4 linked regions of the Caenorhabditis elegans genome follow. The protein of the gene in region 2 interacts with the protein of the main gene of each other region in a pairwise test. Each region holds a gene or a part of one and is shown on either strand. Other genes may lie near its edges. The genes, in order: fkh-6, tbx-8, ceh-30 and sox-3.

Evidence for each region.
Region 1: the proteins of tbx-8 (region 2) and fkh-6 interact in a two-hybrid assay, tested with the Caenorhabditis elegans proteins (one large-scale study listed by BioGRID).
Region 3: the proteins of tbx-8 (region 2) and ceh-30 interact in a two-hybrid assay, tested with the Caenorhabditis elegans proteins (one large-scale study listed by BioGRID).
Region 4: the proteins of tbx-8 (region 2) and sox-3 interact in a two-hybrid assay, tested with the Caenorhabditis elegans proteins (one large-scale study listed by BioGRID).

What each region holds. Positions count from the first base shown.
Region 1 is NC_003280.10:4,378,904-4,385,848, reverse strand, and holds fkh-6 (Forkhead transcription factor fkh-6), read left to right. Parts: upstream 1-2,442; 5' UTR 2,443-2,560; coding exon 2,561-2,598; intron 2,599-2,758; coding exon 2,759-2,867; intron 2,868-4,222; coding exon 4,223-4,434; intron 4,435-4,507; coding exon 4,508-4,661; intron 4,662-5,318; coding exon 5,319-5,624; intron 5,625-5,813; coding exon 5,814-5,966; 3' UTR 5,967-5,971; coding exon of another isoform or gene 5,972-6,016; 3' UTR 6,017-6,062; coding exon of another isoform or gene 6,063-6,233; 3' UTR 6,234-6,264; downstream 6,265-6,945. Other genes in the region: B0286.1 (uncharacterized protein), read right to left, coding at 868-1,030, 2,167-2,226, 5,972-6,016, 6,063-6,233, 6,278-6,432. UniProt on the Caenorhabditis elegans protein: Probable transcription factor. Binds to the DNA sequence motif 5'-[TA]TGTT[TG]T[TG][ATG]TT-3'.
Region 2 is NC_003281.10:10,345,371-10,350,392, forward strand, and holds tbx-8 (T-box transcription factor tbx-8), read left to right. Parts: upstream 1-2,204; 5' UTR 2,205-2,213; coding exon 2,214-2,509; intron 2,510-2,891; coding exon 2,892-2,967; intron 2,968-3,022; coding exon 3,023-3,175; intron 3,176-3,808; coding exon 3,809-4,231; 3' UTR 4,232-4,370; downstream 4,371-5,022. UniProt on the Caenorhabditis elegans protein: Transcription factor. Involved in the control of early morphogenesis of the intestine, hypodermis and body-wall muscle. Involved in regulating expression of vab-7. Appears to have partially redundant function to tbx-9.
Region 3 is NC_003284.9:3,061,199-3,066,368, reverse strand, and holds ceh-30 (Homeobox protein ceh-30), read right to left. Parts: upstream 2,796-5,170; 5' UTR 2,664-2,795; coding exon 2,480-2,663; intron 2,204-2,479; coding exon 1,948-2,203; exon of another isoform or gene 1,743-1,947; intron 1,635-1,742; exon of another isoform or gene 1,485-1,634; intron 1,482-1,484; exon of another isoform or gene 1,336-1,481; intron 1,282-1,335; coding exon 1,008-1,281; 3' UTR 818-1,007; downstream 1-817.
Region 4 is NC_003284.9:14,689,997-14,695,233, reverse strand, and holds sox-3 (Transcription factor sox-3), read left to right. Parts: upstream 1-2,234; 5' UTR 2,235-2,238; coding exon 2,239-2,442; intron 2,443-2,499; coding exon 2,500-2,625; intron 2,626-2,675; coding exon 2,676-2,984; 3' UTR 2,985-3,000; intron 3,001-4,229; 3' UTR 4,230-4,404; downstream 4,405-5,237. UniProt on the Caenorhabditis elegans protein: Probable transcription factor. Involved in the terminal differentiation of some neuronal cell types. Dispensable for neuronal fate commitment during embryogenesis.

The sequences.
Region 1 (6,945 bases), on a different chromosome or scaffold from region 2:
CAAATAGAATTGATTCAAAAATAAATTATAACTCGAATTTTGAAATACGCTGAATATGGTTGTTTGAAAAATTCTTAGGTAGTTAAACCTGTTGCCAGGTAGGTAGGCACATTTCAAGGCAAGTAAGCACGCCACTAGTGTTCCAGGCAGGTAGGCCCAAGTAGGTAGGCAAGTTGTCAGGTAGATAGGGGCGCGTTATTAACCAGGTAGACCTGTTCCTAGAGAGGTAGGTAGGTGAATAGGTACGTTGAAACAGGTAGGCATATTATCAGGTAAATAGGCACGTTAGGCACAGATAGGTACTCACGCTATCAAGTAGATAGATACAATATGAGGTAGGTAGGAACGTTATCAAATGGGTAGGCGCGTTTCTAAACAGGTAGGCAAATCTTCAGGTCGGTAGGTACGTCACCAGGTAGGTTAGCACGTTATCAGTAGGTGGGCATGTTGTTTAGGTAGGCGCGTTACCAAATAGGTCGGTACTCCCGTATTCAAGTATAGATTGTCATGATAGTAAGTAGGTAGGTACATAATAGGCTAGGTAGAAATAGGTGGATAAGTTACTAAGTGGGAGGTGCGGTAACAGAATGGTAGGCACATTTTCACGTAGGTAGGCATATTTCTAGTTAGGCAGGTAGGTACGTAATCAAATGTGCCGTTCTGTCATACATCTGCCTGCCTACCAATTTACCTACCACACTTTTTTAGCATGCACACTGTCTGTTTTCGTATTTCAGTTTTTTCATTTTAATATTTTTTGGTAGCTTCTATTTTTGGGATTTTTTTTTAACACGTCCACGACAAATTTCAGATTTTTTCAGCTACAGTAACCCAAAGAAAAAAATAAATTTCCAGTCAAAATGTCACCTTTATTATCGCGATCCTGTGGATGCTTGTCCATTTGTTCTCTCTCCTCCAACTTTTTCACTTTTGCCTCTTCCAGTGTCTGCACCAATTCTCGTCCCAATAACAACTTTTGCGGGATGTGATGTTGAATGTTACCTCGATCGAAGAACAATGGTTCATCAGCCTGAAAATGGAGTAGTTAGTTGACCCTTATGACGGCTACTTTTTTCTCTCTTGTAGACTCATGTGAAAAGAAATACAGGGAGTAAGTAAAAATAGAAACAAGCAAGACCTTTGATCAAAAAGTTTGAAACAATTTGTTGATAAGAGAAAGTCAGACAGATAAGCAAAACAGTGGCAAATATTCAGGTGATTTATTTAAAGTGATATGTTTTCGTTTCAAATGGGAAAATATCTTGTGATTCTGAAACTACACAGAGAAAAATTGAAAGTGTGAAAAAATAGAACTATCTATGAAAAATATCCAATTTTGGAAATTGTTTGAATATTTGAAATTCTGATTATGTGGTGAATTATTTTAAACAACCATTTTTAAAATCACTTTCTTGAGGGAAATTATTATTGATAAAAATCTTTTTTTTTTCGAAAAAATCGAAAATTTTGCAATCAAAAATTTTCAAGTTTTCTAAATTTGTTTCTAAATTTTTCTGATGCTTTGGAAAATGGCTAGTTTTGTCTGAATTGACCGTTTTAGCATTAAAACAAATATTTCAAATTATTTTGGTCGATCCAGGCACTTCTATTCACTTTTCGAGGCTACAGAAAACAATGCCCAAAAATGTGGCTGGAAATTTAAAAAGTTAAAAAAATCCAGTTTTTAATGAAATTAAATTTAAATTAAAAAAAAAACGATACTTGTGGTTTATAATCATTAATTTTAAAACAAATTTGTTTTTCAGAAGTTTGAAAAAAAAAATTGGAAATCATTTTGATCTACTATTTTGCCAATTTTCCCTATTAGCCTTGCGCCGACATTGCTCCACTTTGACGACTTATGTCTTGGTTCACTTAGATTTTAACAAAAAATGATAAACTAATAAAATGTAGAGAATTATTTTGGGAGTACTTTGCCAGTTAATAATTTTTGATAAAATCAAAAAGAGCTGAGATATACGCTGTCAAAGTAAAGGAAAGTGCCTGGAAGTCTAGTAGAAAAAATACAATGAATGAAAGGTGACTAAAAGTCGCTGGAAAGTCAAAAAATATGGTCAAGTTAAGGATTAAAAAATCGCAAAATTTTCAGAATAATTCCAGATTACTGTAACGGGAGTACTGTGTACAACAAAAAGAAGCACAAACCTTCTGATTCCTGCTGAAATGTGCCGTCTCATTTTGCGAGTAATGCTCGATGGCTCCTCCCTGTAAAAAGTTGTGTGTAATTTTGTGTTGTAATACAAATATTCTCCAATCGTCGTCGTGTTCTCCCTTTCGATTTTTCGTTTATTTACAAAATATAAAAAGTAAGAGATGATCAGATTGGATGTTTCTGTTTCCCTTTTACCAGTGAATCAGCACCAGAAAATGTCAGGAGCACACAGGGGGGAGAAGGAGACAGTGTGCACAATCTTCTTCCATTTCTTTCCCTCCACCCACACCTCCGTCTTCACAGTTCCGAGACCCCGCCCTCACTCTTAGCTTCTGCATAATCCGTTGTCTCATTTGACACCCCCTACCATAAAAAAATACAATAATCATGACTCGCCATCAAACACATCTTCCATTTCATATTGTGTAAGTTATGTATTTATTTATTTTATTTATTTATTATTGTTTTTAGAGAGGGAGAGAGAGAGGGGAAACATATTTTCTTTTTCTTCTTCTCTAAATACAAAATCCCCGTTGCAAAATTCTGTTAGAGGCAAAGTTTTGAAAATAAAAGAGCTCTTTCCAGTCAAGAGGGAAATTCGATTGACAAGCCGCCATACAGTTACGTTGCACTTATTGCAATGGCAATCGATGCTTCGCCGGATAAGAGAATGACGTTGAATCAGATTTACAAGGTAACGGGAAGCTTTTCGATAACGTTTTTTTGGTATAGCGGTTTTGGAGGAATTATCATGAAAATTTTGCTAAAACTAAATACTTTTTTGCGGAAAAATACCATTTTAAAAACCCAAAACTGGTGCGGCAATTCAAATTTTGAAGAATTTTTGAGCAAATTTTTCACAATGTTAGCGGAATATTCCAGTTTTTTTTGGACGTCATATTGAGTATTAAAATATGTGCTAGAACTTTCAGTTATTCCTGCAAAAATAGATCTACGAAATTCAATTCCAAAACTTTAAAAATTACTTTTTTTCTGAGAATTTTTATCTCACTTTACACTAACTTCGAGGCTGCTGAAATTGTTCCAAATCCGATTTTTATCTTCTTTTAAGTTTTTCAGGTATAGGCAAACGTTTGAAAGATTTTTTTGTAAATTTCAATTATTTGAAAACTTGAATCATCGGAGTCTATTTAGTCATATAAAACTGATCAAGCCGAGCCATTTAATGAAACATTTTCTAGTTCAAAATGCTCCTTTGAAGCGAAAAATTTGGCGATCATCTTGTAATGACATATACTTCATTTAAAAATCCAGAAAAATATTCGTCACTTCTCCGGAGATTCTCCCTATATTTTTTGTACTTTAAATTGTTTTGAAATTACTAGAAAAGCCTCAAAATATCTGTTATTTTGGAGATTTTCTAACACGATTATATAGCAGTAAAATTAATCTGCTCCTTATTGCTACAAAAAAAACGAAATTCGAAAAAAAGTTCTTAAGGTTCTACATCATCTTTCCCATATCACATTTTCGTACAGTAAGTTTCATACATTGATATTTTTGTTGTGATATTCAGTTGGTTGCTTTTTTTTTCCACCTAGCCCTGCCCTACCGTAACCCTGTCACAAGTGATCTAGTAATGTTCAGTTCAATCTAACTCTGGAAAACCCAACTCACTAGCCAGCACATCTACCGTAACCCACCACTTCCACTCTTCCGTTTTGACTCATCAACCTTAATAGATCTGACTAATTTGGTGTGGGGGGCACCCTGTGCCTCTCCCATAACATTTACACAGTGAACAACTTTTCCTCTCTCCTACAAGTCAATAACAATGTCAATATATATATATATAGACCTTCTTCGTGTCAAGACCCAAAAACCTTAGTATTCAACTTTGACAGTTAATATCTCAGCTCTCGTTTGTCCTAAACAAAAATTGTCTACCAGCCAAATATTTTTTGGTTATTTTTCTATAGGTTTGTAGTTGATCATTCATTGATATCTTTATTATGAACCGAGATATAACCTTTCAAAGTATGTTAGTTTCCTATCAGGCGCAAACAAAACCGATGATGTGTGTTTCAGTTCATCGAGGCCAAATTCCCATATTACCGTGACGCGGACGCGAAACGAAAACAGGGATGGCAGAACAGTATTCGACACAATCTGTCACTCAACGACTGCTTTGTCAAAAAAGCACGAGACGGACAAAGCTGCGCGAACGACAGAAAGGGCAACTATTGGCAAATGGTGGCGGACAATGCGCCTCAGTTTGACAACGGCAACTTTAAGAGAAGGTATGGATAGTGACAAGAGGATTATTATTATTATACACTCGTGAAAAATGACTATTTGTTCATGTATTTACAGACGTGTCAAAAGACTTGGAATCGGAAAAATGGGTTATGCGAATACGACGGAAACTACTGAAACAGGGACCATTCTACAGCAACAGCTTCCGTTTTTCAACGGGTTGAAGTGGCCACAGAATATTCAAACTATGGATCCTTTCCAGTTTTTTAAGGTAAATAATTGCCCAGTGAAGATTTTCGGGAATCTGAACGCTAACGCCCCATGAAAAATTCGAACAGGCAACAAATTTACGAAATTGTACTAAAAATATTGGTGAATCTGTAGTAAGCTTATCGTTTAGCCCCAGAGTCCTTACTAGTTAGTTGTGAAATTTTCGTTACAACTCTTATAAAATGAAGCAAAGTTGCTTTATATTCCCAATTAAAAATAATTTTATTAATAATTGTTTTTCCAAAAAAAACTTTCATGAAAATACTCAAAACTCCGAGGAAACTGTGCCAATCTCAAAAAGATCTTAAAGAAATTAGCGAACTGTGCAAATATTTCACAAAGACAACTATGCCTGCTTGTAAATTTTAGATCATAGGCAGGCATAGGCAGAAAAATATAAAGTAGGTAAGTACGCCTGAAGGCGTGCCTGCCTACCAAAAAAGCCCAAAAAGTGGACTCCATGCCTTGGTCTACTTTGACAGCTTATATCTTGACTCCCTTTGTTGTTATCAAAAATTGTCAGTTGACAAAATATGGGCAAAATATTTCTCTACATTTAAATAATGACAATTATTTGATAAAATTTCAGGCAACCATGATATAAGCGGTCAAAATAGAGCACAATCGGGGTGCAGATCTAACACTTTCAATTTTTCAGTTCCAATACCCCAACTCCATCACTGATAGTGCCAACACCTCCCAAATCAACAACTCCTCTTCCTCATCGTCATCATTTGATACCTCAATTTACACAAGCGCCTTCCCAATTCCAACTTCTCATTTCGACACAAATCTAGTGGCTCCATCTCAACCACCACCAGTTGTGTCTGATGTAGAAGTTGTACCATCGGATACTGTCAAAGAGGAGGTTCTAGTTGATATGAAGCCATTGATCCCTGGGATTTCAAGTACAACATTCTTGACAAGTCTTCAGATGACTGATCCGAGGAGTATCGAGCAACAGGTTAGTTGAAATTTTCAAAAAATGTTTTAAATAAAGTTTATGCTACTTTTTTTTTAACTCTTGCAGCTTAATGGAGAAATTTTGAAGTCGGTAAAAATTATGCTATCTCCACTTTTTCTCCTATCTCCACTTTTTCTAAATTTTAGAATTTTCATAACTAATCAAAAACCCTCCTAAAACTTATTCCAGCAACTGCTCTCCACTGCAAGCAACATGTACCCAAACGCCTTCATGCCCCCTTATACCAATTGGTCCTGTCAACCAACAACCACTTTCACGGGATTATCATTTGATGACCCATCTCTCTATGGTTATGGACAACAATTCCCAGCTTCATCTTAACTTACCCCTGTCAACTGCCTGATCCTCGTTTCGCACTGTTTCAGTTCCTCCTGGAATAAATTTTTTGAAATATTTTGGTAATTAATTTCAGATTACCTTCAAGCTAGAATTTTCATCCGAATAATTATTCTTCACCTTCTCCTCCAAACCTTCAATTTTCTCTTTGAGACCCGCAATTTCTTGTTCATATTTTTCGATTGTTTTCTTCGAATTTTCATCGTTTTTATTGTTTTCTTTTTTTTGCTCTTTTGGCTCTTCTTTTAAAGTCTATAAAACATGAATTATGGTTTTAAAAAAATTTCAAATCTTACCTGACAATCCGTCAACTCCTTCTGGCACGTTTCTTGTTTTGTCTTCAACCCGTAAATTTCTGACTCTTTTAATTTAATTTTGCTTAAAAATTTGGTTGATTCGGCGTGGCGGGATTGTAATTCAGCCTCGATCTTCTTTTTGTGCAGCCAGATTACTGAAAGAAAAAAACAGTGATTTGACTTTTAAAGTGTTTTTTTTTCAGTTTTTTTTTAATGGCAGATCTACTCAATTTGGAGGGTTTTTCGAAGAAAAAAAATCACCGATATCAATTTTATTTATAAACTTAAGTTTATAGTACTTATTATTTCAAAAACTAATATTAATCGGAATTTAAAATTTACCAAATAAAAGTTGGCAAGAAAATCTAAGTCTCTGAGAACAAAATTTTGGTAAAATTTTGTCCAAAAAATTTGTAGTCTAAATTTGTAGTAAGTTCAAATTTTTTGAGATCAAACTGTGACCAATAATTAATTTTTTTCGAGAAAATTTTTCTGCGAGAAATTTAAAAAATCTGATTGAAATAGTTTTAGCGGGAAATTCGAATGTTCTTAGAAATAAATTGACGGAAATTCAGAATTTTCTGAAAATCGATTGATGGCCTAACTTCAGATTTTTCTAGGCCACGTAAACAATGTTAACTAGAACTTTTTCTAAGCTACATATATAA
Region 2 (5,022 bases):
AGGTTTTTAAAGTTGCTAGAATCGCCAGATAATATAAATACGTATGACTCTGAATATCAAGGTTTTTGTCTGATTGTTGCCTGTATATTGTTGCGTGGGATATTCAGAGAGACCAGAAAAACGTAGGCCATTATTGTGCAGGACATGCAACAATTTCAAAATTATCAGCCACCTACAAGCCGACTTACTCCTGCCTCGTGCCTACACGCGTGACTACTGCCTTCAAACCCCCTTAAGCATGCCTAAGAACATCAAAACATGCCTTACAAGATTTATTAGAGATAACCATGTCGGTGGTATTAAAAAGATCACGTCAAACGGAAGAAATAAAGAGAGAAGTCAATCAACGCAACAGCGGGATGCCTCTTCTAATCGGGTTGCATCGCGACATCGGCGATCCGGACAAGGCTGCCGAGTCGCAGCCTAAGCAGAGGTGCTCGTGGAATAAAATTTCTGAAAAAGCCAAGGATATCAGGTGGGCGATTAAAAACCTGCCTGCCCTTATAGGCGATAGGCAGGTATGTAGGCAAACTGAGGAGTTTGCTCCAAAATGCAGAAAGTAGACTATAAGAAGGTTACCTGAAGTCAATACTTAACATTTAATAAACTGAAAATTCTTACAAATGATCTGTCATATTTGAAATCCTGTAAAACATCTCTGAAGCTATTAAATTTTTGCAATTTAAGCTATTAAAATGTTGACCCAAAACTCCCTCCAAAGTTCCCAAAAACTATAACATGTCAAGTACATAAAATGTCCTTCCCTATCCATAACCTAATGATCACCTGTCAATTCTAGTTACCTAACAACATAAAACGCGTACCGCTCTTTCTCCTCCACCCAACAGTGCGCCAGACGGATCCCTTTACAACTCTCTGGTTGGTGATGATGTAATTTGGAGCCGCCGGCTCACCGCAATACTGTCGGAGCACAAAATTCAGGAAAATGATCCTGATTGAGAACATGGTGCATGCATTAACAGATAATTTGTTTTTGAAGGGAAAATCAATAATTATCTGGAGATTAGATATCTTGTTTTTAGAGATAGTTGTAAACAATGGCAAATTGTAAAACCACTTTAGATGAACCTGGAACTTTCGGGAAATCTGGCAACCGAGCTACAAACTACAAACTACAGAAAATCAATCTACAAATGTTTTTTTCAGTCAAGAACCGAGATATCAGTTGCACATGGTGCATCGAACACTAACAAGATTAATCAAAATTTGTCACGTCCAGTATATCCGTAGTAAAAGTGAGAATTAACCTCAATGATTTATCATCCTGCCCGTGTCCTTCTTCCCGTTTATCAATATTACCGTAGTGGTGATGGTGGTGGGGGCATCGAATATCGTCGTAAAATCGTCGTTAAACAAATTTTATGAACTCTATATACAAATCAAGCGTGTTATTATTGTTTGGTAGAAAGATTGGAAAACGATAAAGAGAGGTGAACAGGTTTCCTAAAATATCCCCCCGGAGATTCATTTCTAGCAAGTATTTGGAGAAAGATGAAGAGGGACTGCACAATATTTAAATCGTTGAACCAATAAAATAATAATCACAAACTTGGAGCATTTGGAGCATTCGATGACGATTTTCTAGAAACTGGGGAAGTTATGAGGTTTTTGGATTACATTTTTGATTGGAGTATCATGAACATTTTTTAGAACTCCTTAATAATAATTCTTCAAACGACAAAGAAGTTTCAACCAAAAAATTTGTCAAAAAGTGTTTCTAACAGAAATGAAAGTATGTAGAGAGAAAGTTGGGATAAAGTAGGTTGAGAAGTATCCCACATATCTCAAAAAATATTTGGTTTATCAAAAAGTTGTCAACTGACAAATAGTCGAGCAAAATGTCAATTGAAAATTCCCTCGTATTATTGATTTTTGGGAAGTTACAGCTGTTCAAACTTTTAATTTTGTCTATTTTCACCTTTGAAACTTATTCCTTCACACAATTCCCCTTTTTAGCATCCCGCCAAACATCGAAAAACCACGCCTACCAGTGTTATCGCTACCGTACCCCGCGGTCCGCCTTCGGGAAGGCAGGAGTGGGGCCGTGGCATCCAGGTGAGACCCCAGGCTCACTCTCAGCCACCAATCTGTTTAGTATTCACTTTTACGCGAATTTTCCAATTTACCAATATTTCAGTTTTTGCCCGTTTTGATTGAATCCTTATTATAATATGAAATTCCAGAGAAAAACCATGACAGATCAAGTGTATGTGACACTTCGAGAAGATCAGGATAAGCTGTGGAACCTCTTCCATTATCATAAAAACGAGATGATTGTCACAAAATCCGGCAGGAAAATGTTCCCGAAGCTTGAGTATGTGGTCAGAGGTCTCACGCCGAACAAGCTCTACGCTATGATGCTTCATATTGAGCCATCCGACGATCATCGGTACAAGTTCAGCAGTGGAGAATGGGTCAAGTCGGGAAAAGCCGAAAAGCACAGGGAGCCAAAGAAGTTGTGGCATGCGGATGGAGTTAGAAGTGGAAAGTGAGTTTTTTTTTGGAATGCTTTGTTAGTTGATCTTTTATTAGATAGCGCAGTCAGGGTTGGAGTACCTATTTTTCAGCAGGGAATCAGAAAATAATTTCAATTTAGAACTGTAATATCTCAAAGGAAAATAAAAATACAATAGTTGCTTACTGATGAAATGTTTATTATAAAATTTTCTACAGTTTTCCAATTGACAACTTTTTTGTAATGACTGTTTCAAGCAAGTTATAACTACTTAAAAATGTAACACATCGCCAACTTGAGCATGTTAACTTCAAACTGTTATAAAACTACGGGCGGTTTAAATATCAAATATCAAATCCTTTTCAAATAAATTATCTGATTTTCTGTATATCTCCCTATAGTAACTTTTTTCCAGAGAATGGATGACCAACCCAGTTTGCTTCGATCGTGTAAAAATCACAAATTGCGCTGAATCTACAAATGCATCAATGGTAACAGCCATAATTCTTTTCTCCTTCAACCTCAGCATTTCCCAATTTCTTCCAGATTTTCCTTCACAGCATGCACAAATACACACCAGTAATGTCAATCTACGAGTCCCCATCGGAGAGCCCATTCAGCGTCCCACAACCATCGACCCGTCTTGTCACTTCTGTTCGACTCACTTATACCGAATTTATTGCAGTTACAGCGTACCAGGTAACACTTGTTTGGGATCTAGATAACTTTGCCTATTGAGCCCGCATTAACACTTGCATTAACACGTGTGGCTCTCTATGAGCCACATCTTCTGAAGGGTGCGAACACTAATTGTTTGAGGGGTATTGTTTTGGGTTTTCTGTGAAGTGAAAGGGTTTGACACAAAACAAATAGAAGAAAAGGATATTTAAATAATTGTTGCAATTTTTTATTAGAAATTAAAGTAAAATGGGTAAATATATTAATATAAATTTTTAGTCTCATTCTTGATTTATTAAGATTTCCTCAAAAACCGTAAGAGAGCTATCATGAAATTTTTGACCTATAAAATGATGTATACTTTTCAAATCTGAAATAACTTTTCTCTTAATTGAAAATATTGAAAAAACACTCAAAAATTGTCTGAAAGCTGAAAATAGCTTGAAAAAAGTTTTGATAGTTTGCCGGCAGTTTTTTACCGTTTTTCCGATTGTTGCAACTGTCTCAGGCGGTTTTAAAGACCAACAGCAAATAATTAACTGCATTATTTAATCTACAATTTTTTATTTTCTTGAAAACAGCGAGGCATCTCAGAAAGTTGTCTTTTTTCCATGGCTCAATCAAAATGTAACTCTTAAATTCAAAAACTTCCAGAACGACGCAGTAATCAAGCTGAAAATCAAGTTCAACCCATTTGCCAAAGGATTCCGAGAGGGAAGCCAATCAGACAGAAAACGAAATTCTCCATCCGCCGACGACTCTACAACAGATGAAAGCTCATCTCAAGTCTCTTCTCCTCAGCCAAAAAAGTCACGAACCGTGTCAGTATCACCTCCATTGATGCCACGGATCCTTCCAACAATGATTCCACCACCACCAGCCATCAATCCCCTTTTCTACAGTCTCCCCTACTTTTCCCATTTGGCAGCCACCGGGAACTTCCCGCCTGTACCATTCCAATTCCCATTTGGACTTCCATGCTTCTCCCCAATGTCATTTCCAACACCTCCGCCATCTTTGAAAAATGTCAAGAAAGAAGAGCAAGAGGATATTGAGCAGGAAATCAATGTAGTTTAATTGCAAAATTTAATTATTAATTTTAAATTGTTATACTTTAGTTCGGGTCACATGATCACTTTTTCTGTTAATTTTTTCTGCATAGAAGATTTTTTGTTTCTGAATTTGGACATAATCAAATAAATTTTATACGGTGTAATTATCTTCCAGACAAGTAGGCAGGCAGGCAAAAATGCTCTTCTGCGGGCATTCACAAAAAATAGGTCTTCTATTGCCCATGCCAATTTTTTGAAAAAATAACTTTAACTTTAAAAACCAGTTTTTTTGCGGCCTTTAAAATTGAGCAATTTTTCCTTTAAAAAATTTCCAAAAAACACCATGGCCGAATTTGTATTTTTCGCGGCCACGAGACTTCAATTTTTCATGGCAATGTTTTAAGAAACTTTTATGGTTTTTACAGTTTAAATTTTTTCCACCATAGAGCATAACTTGCCACGTGGCCGAAAAAAAACGGTGGCGGAGTTTCTTCAATTGGTTCTTTCTGCCACCAAGACTAAATGCGGGGCCGAGGTTTCACACGTTCTAGGCCACGCAATTTCTTTTTTGAACTGTTTTTCTTCTTTCCGTTCCTTCAATTTTCTCCGTTATGGCCTAGACTTTCTTGTGAAAAACTATAGTTCTTTCAATTTTGAAATTGCGAAAAATCGGCAAAGTCGACCTGCTCAATATGATGACGTGGAAGATTCTGCATGAGAATTACACAGTGTGTCATCACCCCTCTTACACTTTTGTTCTCTCCCATCACAGCCTCCCATACACACAATTTCACTACAGTTTTGCTCCTCGCGCGG
Region 3 (5,170 bases), on a different chromosome or scaffold from region 2:
AAAATTGAAACAATGAACTGTAGAATGGAAGCTGCTATGATTTTTTATCCTTAAAAATTTATACCATTTCAGCAATATGAGTTAGAGAGAGCAATTATATATTGTTAAGTCAAATGTTATAAATTGAAAAATGTAGCATGATAGTAATTCTTGAAAATTTTCTAATTTGAAAGGCATCAAAATATGTACTATCGACTATTTTTTCTAGGTTCACTTTAAAATTTAAAAGTTCACAAACTTTAATTTTATTATCAAGTTAACAACAAATTTGTATATATTCGCGCCTGTAGCAAGCATTTTAACTGAGATCGTGGCGAGACCCACTCAGAAAAACAATTTGTGCCTTTACTATGAATGTCAAAATTTTGCTAAATTACTACATATCATTTTTGAAAAAAAATTTTGGAAAATTTTTATTGCGAGAAATGTTTATTGTTACTGGTGAAAACTGAGTTCGATTCACACAAAAGTACCAAAATTTCCAATTTCTATTTGAAAGGTTTTATCATGATCTTTGGACATTTGAACACCATAGAAATAAGTTTTACTAATTTCTCCACATTTTTTGAAAAAGTGAGCTAGGAACCGTCTGTCAGGTAAAGGTATTTGTCGAACAGGTGAGGTGTTAACGACGCCTGCCAAGTATTCTATCTCACATATTTACCTCTTCCGTCGCGATAAAATCAGAACGGTTGCGCCACTCGCCAACACCTGGCGCTTCTGGCACGTCTTGTGTTCATTGTATTTTTGAATGCCCCACCATCTCCAGTTTTCTTATCAGATTTCGGAAATCGTCATCATCCACGAACAGCATAATAAAATAATAATATTATTATTAATGACGTGGAAATGACATAATCAAGCAAAATAAAAATAACACAAGCGATACATATGCAATGTTGTGAAAAAAAGAAAGCGTCTTCTCCCTATCTAACCCATTGAGATCGGTTTTTGTGACTTTAATTGAAAATATTACATACAAATTTTAAAAATTAACACAAGAAATACTATTCTGAGTTGCTGGAAACATCCAACTGAGGGGATTCACTGGATATGTGAGTGGATGGAGAATTTGAAGAGGAGGAAGGCTGGAAAGCATGGGCTGGGGGAACAATCATAGACATGGGTAGGCCCATCATCGGTAGCTGAGTGCCCATAGGTAAGGCTGTGATATAGTTGGCCCAATATGGACTGCTTCTGATCAAGTTCTGAACTGCGGAGAGGTTTCCAGGTTCCGATAGAAGATCCATTCCACTTGTTGCCTGTCGCTTCCATTTTGTTCTATAAAAAACATTAAGTAATTTGAGTAATTTGAATTGCCGTATTTTGTTCCACTAGACCGGACGTCTTCACTTTTCACATCTTAATTTTTGAGTGTCCCGTTATTGTAATAATGATGTTTTTATGTCGCAACTAGATATATTATATGTATTAACCACCACTTGACTATATTCGGATTAATTCAACGCTGCCGAACCTTGGGACCAAAAGCAGGTGATCTGCCTCTTAGCGGACTCATACGCCTCATTATTGTGCAAAAGAGCAGGAGACCACCCCGGCGATAACTACACAACAATAGCGACGTTTTGAAAGGTTTTCCAGATTGTGAATGCATGGATACATTTCAAAAGAGGCACAAATTCGTCTATCCACTTCATTCACCAATGAAACCGATACTAAAAGCTGGTGAAAATTTGATGATGACGACGATGATGATGCTCTGATGACAAGTCATCACATCAAATATTCACATAGAACACCGCCGCCTTGAACAATAATTAGGAAATGTGAGCGTGGTTGGTGTAGTAATCTACAAGGGTGGGCTCAATTGGCGGCTACGCTTGTTATTAATTTGAGAATGTACATATGTATGTTAAGAATTGACTCTGCTACCAACGATAATTCCAACGATAATTCCAACGATAATTGAAAGACGTTATTACTAACCTTCTATTTTGGTACCACGTCTTGACTTGAGTATCAGTGAGACCCATTCTGTGCGCCAAATCCATCCTGTCCTGGACTGATAGATACTTTTGCTTTTCAAATGTATTCTCCAACTCTTGCAACTGCTTGTCAGTGAAGATGGTTCTTGCCTTCCGAGATTTTTTGCAACTGCCTGGACTACCCATTCGATCGCCGCCGGGGCTGCTTGCTCTTGGCGAAGTTGAAAAATCAGATTTAATTGATTGTGGCGATGGGTCTGAAAGTTGATGGTTATTGATGCACAAAAAGAACAAAACAAAAGATTGACCCCGGAAGAGAACTGTATTCATATGTTCATTAAGGCATTAATCCTTTTACCCCCCCCCCCCCCTACATTCAAACTATCATTTCCGGGTAGTCACCATTGAGAGGAGAAAATCGAGAGCATGGTTGAGTAAATTTTTGATGGGTAACGCGCCGCGCACAAAACTTTTAATGGCTGTCGTTTTGAATGTTTGGAATTTTGGAATCAATTGCAGGTGTAATGACTTACCGTGATCGTTTGAATGGGATGAATTGTTTGGGGATTGCTCGAGAATGTCAGAAATGCGGAATGAAGAAGAAGACGAAATTTTGTTGCACGGGGAAGTTGAAGCTGCTTGAGCTAGAAGTGCTTGTGTAGTCGGATCCAGATAAAAAGCGGGAAGCAGAAACTGCCGAGGGTCGAGAAGTGACATTTTGGGAAGTGAGTGGTACTGTAGAAAAGTGTTAAACGAATGCTTTGCACGTTCGAAAGTCGGGAATGCGACACTGTTGAAGGCACCGATGATTGGTTATTGTCGGACGATGAGGGGTGACTATAAGACAAGTTAAATGTGCGAGAGTGGGCGGGGCGACGGCCTGGCAATTTGGGTGAGAGAAGAGGGTGCGTTGACATTGGGAAGGATGATGCAGCAGCAGCTACCACCACCGCCCTCCTAAACATGGTCATGACAATTACACTCGATTTTCGAGATCCAACGCCACATGAGAAGTCAATTATTTGTATTTAATAACACGAAATCTATAACTTGACCTTTCATTTTGCACATCTCAGATGATGCGGGGGAAAATGATGGCGAAAATGAGATGGGGGAAGATGGTTGGGAATAGCTGCACACTGCGGCTAATTGGAGCAACCTGTCAAACGGTGGTTCTAGGGAAACATTTGATGAATTGTCAAACTTGGAAATAAACAATATGGAATATTATTCTGCCAAAGCTGGATATCGAACTCTAATTTTCAGGTTGGTGCTCGAAATGTTAAAGTTTCATTTTCACAGTTTTTCACTTACTTGCAGAAAGACCATCTTACTAATCTCCATATATAAGCTTAGTCGGTTTGTTTTTCACAAAATCGACAAAAGGTTACTCAACGTATTTTTCGGCAAAAAAAAGTTATAGAAGTTACGGTAAATTTTTGTTACGAATCACGATTTCAGTAACCTGTAGAAATACGGTGATTGTTTTTTATTTAATTTCAAATAATTTCAATCATTGTTGTAAACACTCTGTTTCCTTTTTTTCTGAATGAATACATATTTTTGTCGCTTTTCTCAAATTAGTTCTGTTTATAGTTTCATTTTCCCCCAAAACACGTAATGTTGCAATAGAGTTTCAGAATAAGGCCACTTGCCGATATTATGAACAATCTTCGCTCTGTCCTTGAAACAATGCATTTTCACATCTTAACCAGACACAAAAATAATTTGAAACTGCAAAAAGCGTTAAAATCCCATATTCGGAGTGACAAAACCCATGTAATTAACATCCACCGATTCCTATATTTCGAAGAGAAATCTACTCTGAAGTGTCGATTAATTTTGCATACTAACCGTCAATTACAAAACAAATAAAATGGTTTTTTGTTTCGCGATTCCAAGCCGATTGGCATGGAAGGACATTCAGCTAATTTTCGACCGCCCAGCTATGTACATAGACATGTTTCAAAGTCATTGCGTTCCTCATTCCGCCAGCAGTTGTTTTATTTGATAGTTCACATAAATCATTCTCATTAGCTCTTTCTTCTACTTATATATTTGCTACCTTGGTAATGTTGAGAAACAAGATGATCGTTCCGTCCTTGTATATTTAGAAGAGGTGCAAAAAGCGGAGACACTTTCAACTCAACGTAGCGTAAAATATTGGGCGCGCAGGAAGATTGACTGGAAAACGATACAGTTACAAATTGAAAAATGGGAAGTTGAAAAAAAAAGGAAAATTGGAAGTGGAAATGAAAATGCATTAGAGATAATTGTCATTTGCCATTTCCCCCACTCTTAATTGTGAACATACATCTTGACACCCAGTAACAAGAAAAAAGCTGGCAATATGAATATGAGCTTGTTTAGGAGACAGAAGCCGCCTTTGAAATCTCCCGGGTAAGCAGGTTCTATTACATAATATCGTATCCTTTCCATACAGCTCATTACAATTGCCAACATAAATAATTAGATTAAAGGACACTCCCGGAAAGGTGTCGCAGACCGGTGGGACCAGCACACACGTGGCTGCTCTATTGTGTTCTGTTGCGCAATAGAGACGCTTCTTTTTTTTTGACAATGGCAATTGAGACCAGGTAAACGACTCCTTCAAGTGTGTGAAGCGGTGTTTATCAAAGCCACCCGGCAATTGTGTCCTTTTTAGGCACCTTTTTATGTGACATGTTGACTTATAGCTTGCACCGATCAGCGGCAGGTTAACGAATACAATTGATGGAACTGCCGGAAGTGTCAGGTTATGGATAAATTTGAAGAGTTATATAGATAGTTGGAAAGATAAAACGCTGCTTTGATAAACATGAAATTTATTTCAAAATTCTTATTACTTAAATATTAAACATATATTGGAACTCGTTTTGAAACCATAGTTTCTAAATTTATTCATTAACAAATTAACTTCTAACAGTGTTAGTATACACGTGGATTTATCTGTGAATTTTGGACAATTCACTGGATTCAATTTTGAACGTTCAGGCAAAAGGTTTAGTCATATTTAATCGTATTTTATAGTTCTCAACTCATATGTGACTGATGTGTTGTTTCTAAGCATTTTTTTATTTATATTGTTTTCAAATTGAAAATTTAATTTTTGCAGTGAAGATAATGTTTTTGCAAAACTAACTTCCTATTTATTCATTGCACAAAACACTTTTATAATCAAATTTTGTCTAAAGCACAATCATGATCATAATGGCGCTTTTTTC
Region 4 (5,237 bases), on a different chromosome or scaffold from region 2:
TTTAAGTTATGAATTTCAGCCTTCAAAAGCTGTCTGGTAATTAAAAAAAATGTTGAAACAGTGTCCGGGGAAGAAAAAATGCACGATAGACAAGTTACGTACATGATCTTCTTTCCAACCTGTGCCAATACTTTAAGCTATGTCAGACTAGAACGGTTATCATTTTCTTTTTTTTCTGAATTTCAGGACAACATCTCAACAAACAAACAAAAGTGTTAGTGGCATCTCAACTTCATCTCAATTATAAACGCCAATGAAATCTATTCAAACAACAAATTGGCTTATAATCTGCACAAAACCTTCGCGCGAGCAATCATCAAATTAACTGTTTAATCCATCACAGCTCTTCTCCTCTTTATTAACTCGTGTCCTCCAGAAGTGTTCTGAAGTGCTGGTAGTGTGGTGGGTGCCTTCGGGCGGTGTGCTGGAGAAGTGAGAGAAGAGAGGGGGATGGAGGGGCCGAAAACGAAGTTATCGCAAATTTACATTGTAGAAAGGAACCATTTTCAAGCGTGCTGGACCTCGGATCCGCCAGCTTTGTCTTTCCCATTTTTCCCTTTCTTTTCTCAATTCTTGTAAAAATAATAGTTTTTGTCATGTGAAGTGTATTGTTTTTTGTGTGAGTAGCTAATGTTTACAGGAGAGGGGTACTGTAGAATTTCAAGGTACAGGGTGAGGTACGGAGGTAATGAGTACAGAGAAAATGTAGTCTAGAACGTGAAACATTACACATTTTCCAGTTAGAGGTACAATAAGGGACTCAGTTCTCATATACATATGCCTCATAACTCATATACATATGCTTGAAAATTAAAAATAGGATAACAGTATTTAAGCATGAGCATATGCCTTATAATGCTATAATTTCCAAATATCACTGTAAAACGTTTTATATATACACAGTCAAAAAGCTTTTACCTATCATAATTTTGAAGTCGACCAAAAAACTTTTTCACTAGGAGTAGTATATTTTAATTTTTTTCCAATTGTTTTTAATAGTAGTTCAAACAAGCGGCAATACTCTAAGTACCTTGAAGCCCAAATTTTTCATATATTAAACAATTTACCAAAATTTGATTGCAAAGTTTGTTAAATCTAAAGTTTTCAATTTTTTCCTATAACATTCAATCACGTTGGATTATCTTAAGTTTATCCATACTAAAGATACTCTACATATTTATTAAAATTTCAAATTGATTTTGAAAGTTTTGATACATCATTTAGGTATTTAAAAAATCTAGTTTTATAGATTTTATATATAAGTTTCTGAATACGTTCAGGTAACAATTTAAAAATTTGTTGAGCTCAAAAACATAATTGTGCTGGAAACCATAAAAATTTTGAAATGGATTTAAATTAAGGATTTAACACGTTTGCAATTTTTTGAAATTTCTTGCCTTGCGTCCCGTCCAACTCTGTTCGGAGAGGGGTCGGAAGTGAACAATCAACATTCTAAACAGAACACGAATTTACACATTTTCAACATTAAATATTGTGCCCCATCGTCCATCGTCAACCGTCACTTTTCACCTAACTTTCCTCTGTAAAAAGTTCGATCTAAAACATTGTATCATCCAAAGTATCAGCACGATGTGTTTGTTAGCACAGTGTCATATGATGTCGAATAAGAATTCATGGAAAAAAAAAACGTGTTTGGTTTTTCTTGTATTCGTTTTTGAAAATGCTCAAACTAGGTATTCAGTGTTCCGTTATTATTAGAAAAGTCGTTTTGCTTCACTGAACTAAACTAACTAGGAACTCTTGAATAACTTTTGAAATATTGAGAATTTGCAAAATTAGTTCACAGTTCATGCTTGACTTCATTCACCTTCCTACGAGTTCTTGCAATCATTATATCAGCGTAAGTTGCTATTTCAGTAGGGTCACATAGGAGCCATCTTGAGTATCAATTTCGATTACCGTATTTCCTCGCAACTCATTTTGGCTCCGCCTACTGTCTCTCGTCTATTTGTGCGCCGCCTCTTGTTGGCCACTGAGACGAGGGAGGACACGCATAATATAGCACGCGTCTGTCTCTCTTTCTTTTTTTTTTCGGAAATTTACCATTTCCTCATTCAGGTTTTCTTTTCTCTCTTACGTTTATTTTATGAGTAGGGTTTCCAGTTCTCGGTTTCTAGTTTCTTGTTTTCAAATTATTTCCAAAGTTTTCCCGAAATTATTTGTATTTGGTATTAATTTTTTCAAAAGTTTTGTTAGCATACATTGTCTTTCAGCGGTATGACTGACCTCTCTTGTCTGTATCCTTCACTTTTATGCACTGAAGCTGCAAAAACATCTTATGACGAAGACACAACGTCTGTTTCATCTGGTTTAAGCCCTCCGGGCTCTCCAGTCGATCTACAAAACTCGCTGGATCATGTGAAACGGCCGATGAATGCATTTATGGTTTGGAGCAGAGGACAGAGAAGGAAAATGGCACAGGTGCATTTTAAATATTTAAATTTTTTAGGTTATTATGTAAGTAAGTAATTTATTCAGGATAATCCAAAAATGCACAATTCCGAAATAAGTAAACGGTTGGGTGCAGAATGGAAACAGCTATCAGAGCAGGAAAAACGACCATTTATTGATGAAGCAAAACGGCTCAGAGCTTTACATATGAAGGTAGTTTAATTACATTTTTCAATAGTTATATTATTAATTTCTATACTCAGGAGCACCCAGACTACAAATACCGTCCACGAAGAAAGCCAAAATCCTCCAATCTGAAGCAACAACCTCGTTTGAACATCGCCATGCCAACCATCCCGCCACAATCACTTTTCAACTATTCCACAGCATTCGACTCATTGAAAACCCATGACCTCTCCCAATACTACTCATCATTCTTCCAATCGCCCGTATTATCCGGCTCAACCTATGCTCCATACAATATGATGGCTGCTTATGCGAGACAAGCTGCAGCCGTGGCTGCTGCAAGTCAAGTGTCGGCTTCAACAACGCCAACAGCTCCTGCCACGTAACTTGCTGAATTGTCATGTACGTTACACTTTTTTTTGAATTGTTTAATAAGGTATAGGTATTTTGAATTAACAGAAAAGAGAAATGTTGATCTTTGAAGAGCCACATAAGAGTAAAAAATGTATCATAACAATATATTAGTCATTTCTGTATTTCTAAAATTTCTAGAAAAAGTCTTATATATGTGTTATTGACATTCAAAACTTTGAAACAAATTAATCGGTGTAGCTGAAATCCCAAACTACCGCAATCCCATATTACAGTAGTTGATTCCATTTTTGTTTTATTTTTAAAAAAAGTTACAGTCGATAAATACACAAATGTGTTGCTTATTTTTGTGAGCTTATCGACAAAAAATAAGTCAGCGGCTGTAATGAACAAGCTACCCAAATTTGAAAATATTTTATTTGAGGCTTTCCATATCAAAACTTGAATACGCAATAATAATTTTTGAAAAGTTTTAACATTAAAATTTAGTAGTTTAGGCTCACAATATTTGAGAAATTTTGAAATTTTTACTTTTAAAGATTAAGTTAATTTTAACGGTAGGCAAAGCTTTTGGGAAGAATATATCTTACGGTTTTTGTTGGCTTGATGTTCCGTTGAACTTCTAGTTGACGTTTTGCTCTTAATTCTTATCTAGTCTTGTTTCAAACTATACAAATCGCCCAACAATTTACTACACTTCAATTTTCAAATATCAACTTTCCCACAAGTCATTCATTCCTTTTCTTCCGCTATAAAGACATTAGGTGGTCGGTCACTTGTTTCCGACCGAAATCGGTTCATAACCATAAGAAACGCGTCCAAGTGTAAAACCCTCCTTTCCCCCTTCTCTTTTTGAATTAACACCACCACTAAATTCGACTCCCGCCAATTTGTGTATTGTGCACCTCGCGCACTTCCGGTTACACACGGTTACATTGTTCCATGCCAAATTCTTATTATTTTCACTTGAAGTGTATCGGTTTGATTTTTTCCAACACACAAAAAATGAATGAATGAAAAGGTGTGAGTGTATCATGCGCGAATAAGTCGAATAAGTCGCGCGCTTTGTGTTGAAATGTACTGTTTACTGAATGATTGACATATGTGTGCAGTTTAGATTTGAAGATGAGCAATGATTCCATTTTCTTATCGCTTTCGGAGAAAAGACAATAAAAATGACTCAGAATAATGATGAATAGTCTATATGTGTTTGGGAATTGTGTTTTACTTTGTATTTTAAACTACCATCTGATTTTCAGGTTTGCTCAATACCATGCTTCACCTTCAATGAGCAGAATCTCCCTACAAATGCCATACAGACAAATTGATTCTAATTTTTCGATAATTTTGATTCGAATGTGCTATGTGCAACCTACCTGTACTTTTCTATTTTGCTGTATCTTCCATAAATGAAATATAAAATTTTGTGAAGAAATAACTACAAACTTTGGGTTTTATCAATTTTATCTATTTGTCAGCTGCACTCAAAAGCTCATCACCAGGATACGGTATTTTTTTTAACGGTTGTTCAAAGTGTGCCTGCCGCAAAAGTGTACAAGAATAAATAGGCGCCCAATGTAATGTTAGTATTCAATTTTTGCGACTTCTATTGTACAACAAATTCAATACAATAGATTGAATTGTTCAAGAACAAACTTCCAATTCATTGTTGGTTGAAACGAATGAATAGAATCAAGGAAGGAAAGAAGGTATTCAACAACTTTTACTCCTCTCTCCTTTATTTTCACCCCCACTGTCCCTTGCCATTGATATTTACCATTTGCTGTCCCCTGTCACCTCCTCTGTCATTGACGACCGATACCCCCATGGAGTTACATTTTTTTTTTCGTTGAGGTTGCCTGAACAAAGAGAACAATGTCCGCACTTAAAACGCCTAATCAAATCGGTTCACACGCTGAGAAAAAAGTTGAGGGAAGTCTAAACCATTTCATGGTCATTTGTTAGATGGAAATTTATAGAAACAGGTCATGTTGCGAGAATTTTTCGACCTTAAGTTAATACTCAATTTATCTAAGTTGAAACATAAGATTTATAACTGCTTATGACATAATAATGAGCAACTTGAACATGACGCTACAGTATTTTTACCATTAAACAAAAATTAACAAGTGCTCCAGTGAATCCACGACTTATAATTTGGTCTTATCCAAACCTAGTCAAACCTGGCTATGTGAACATCAAAACTTGAACTTCCTCTTTCGAGAACGACACATCATTTAAAACTTTTTCAAGCGTTACTTTACAAG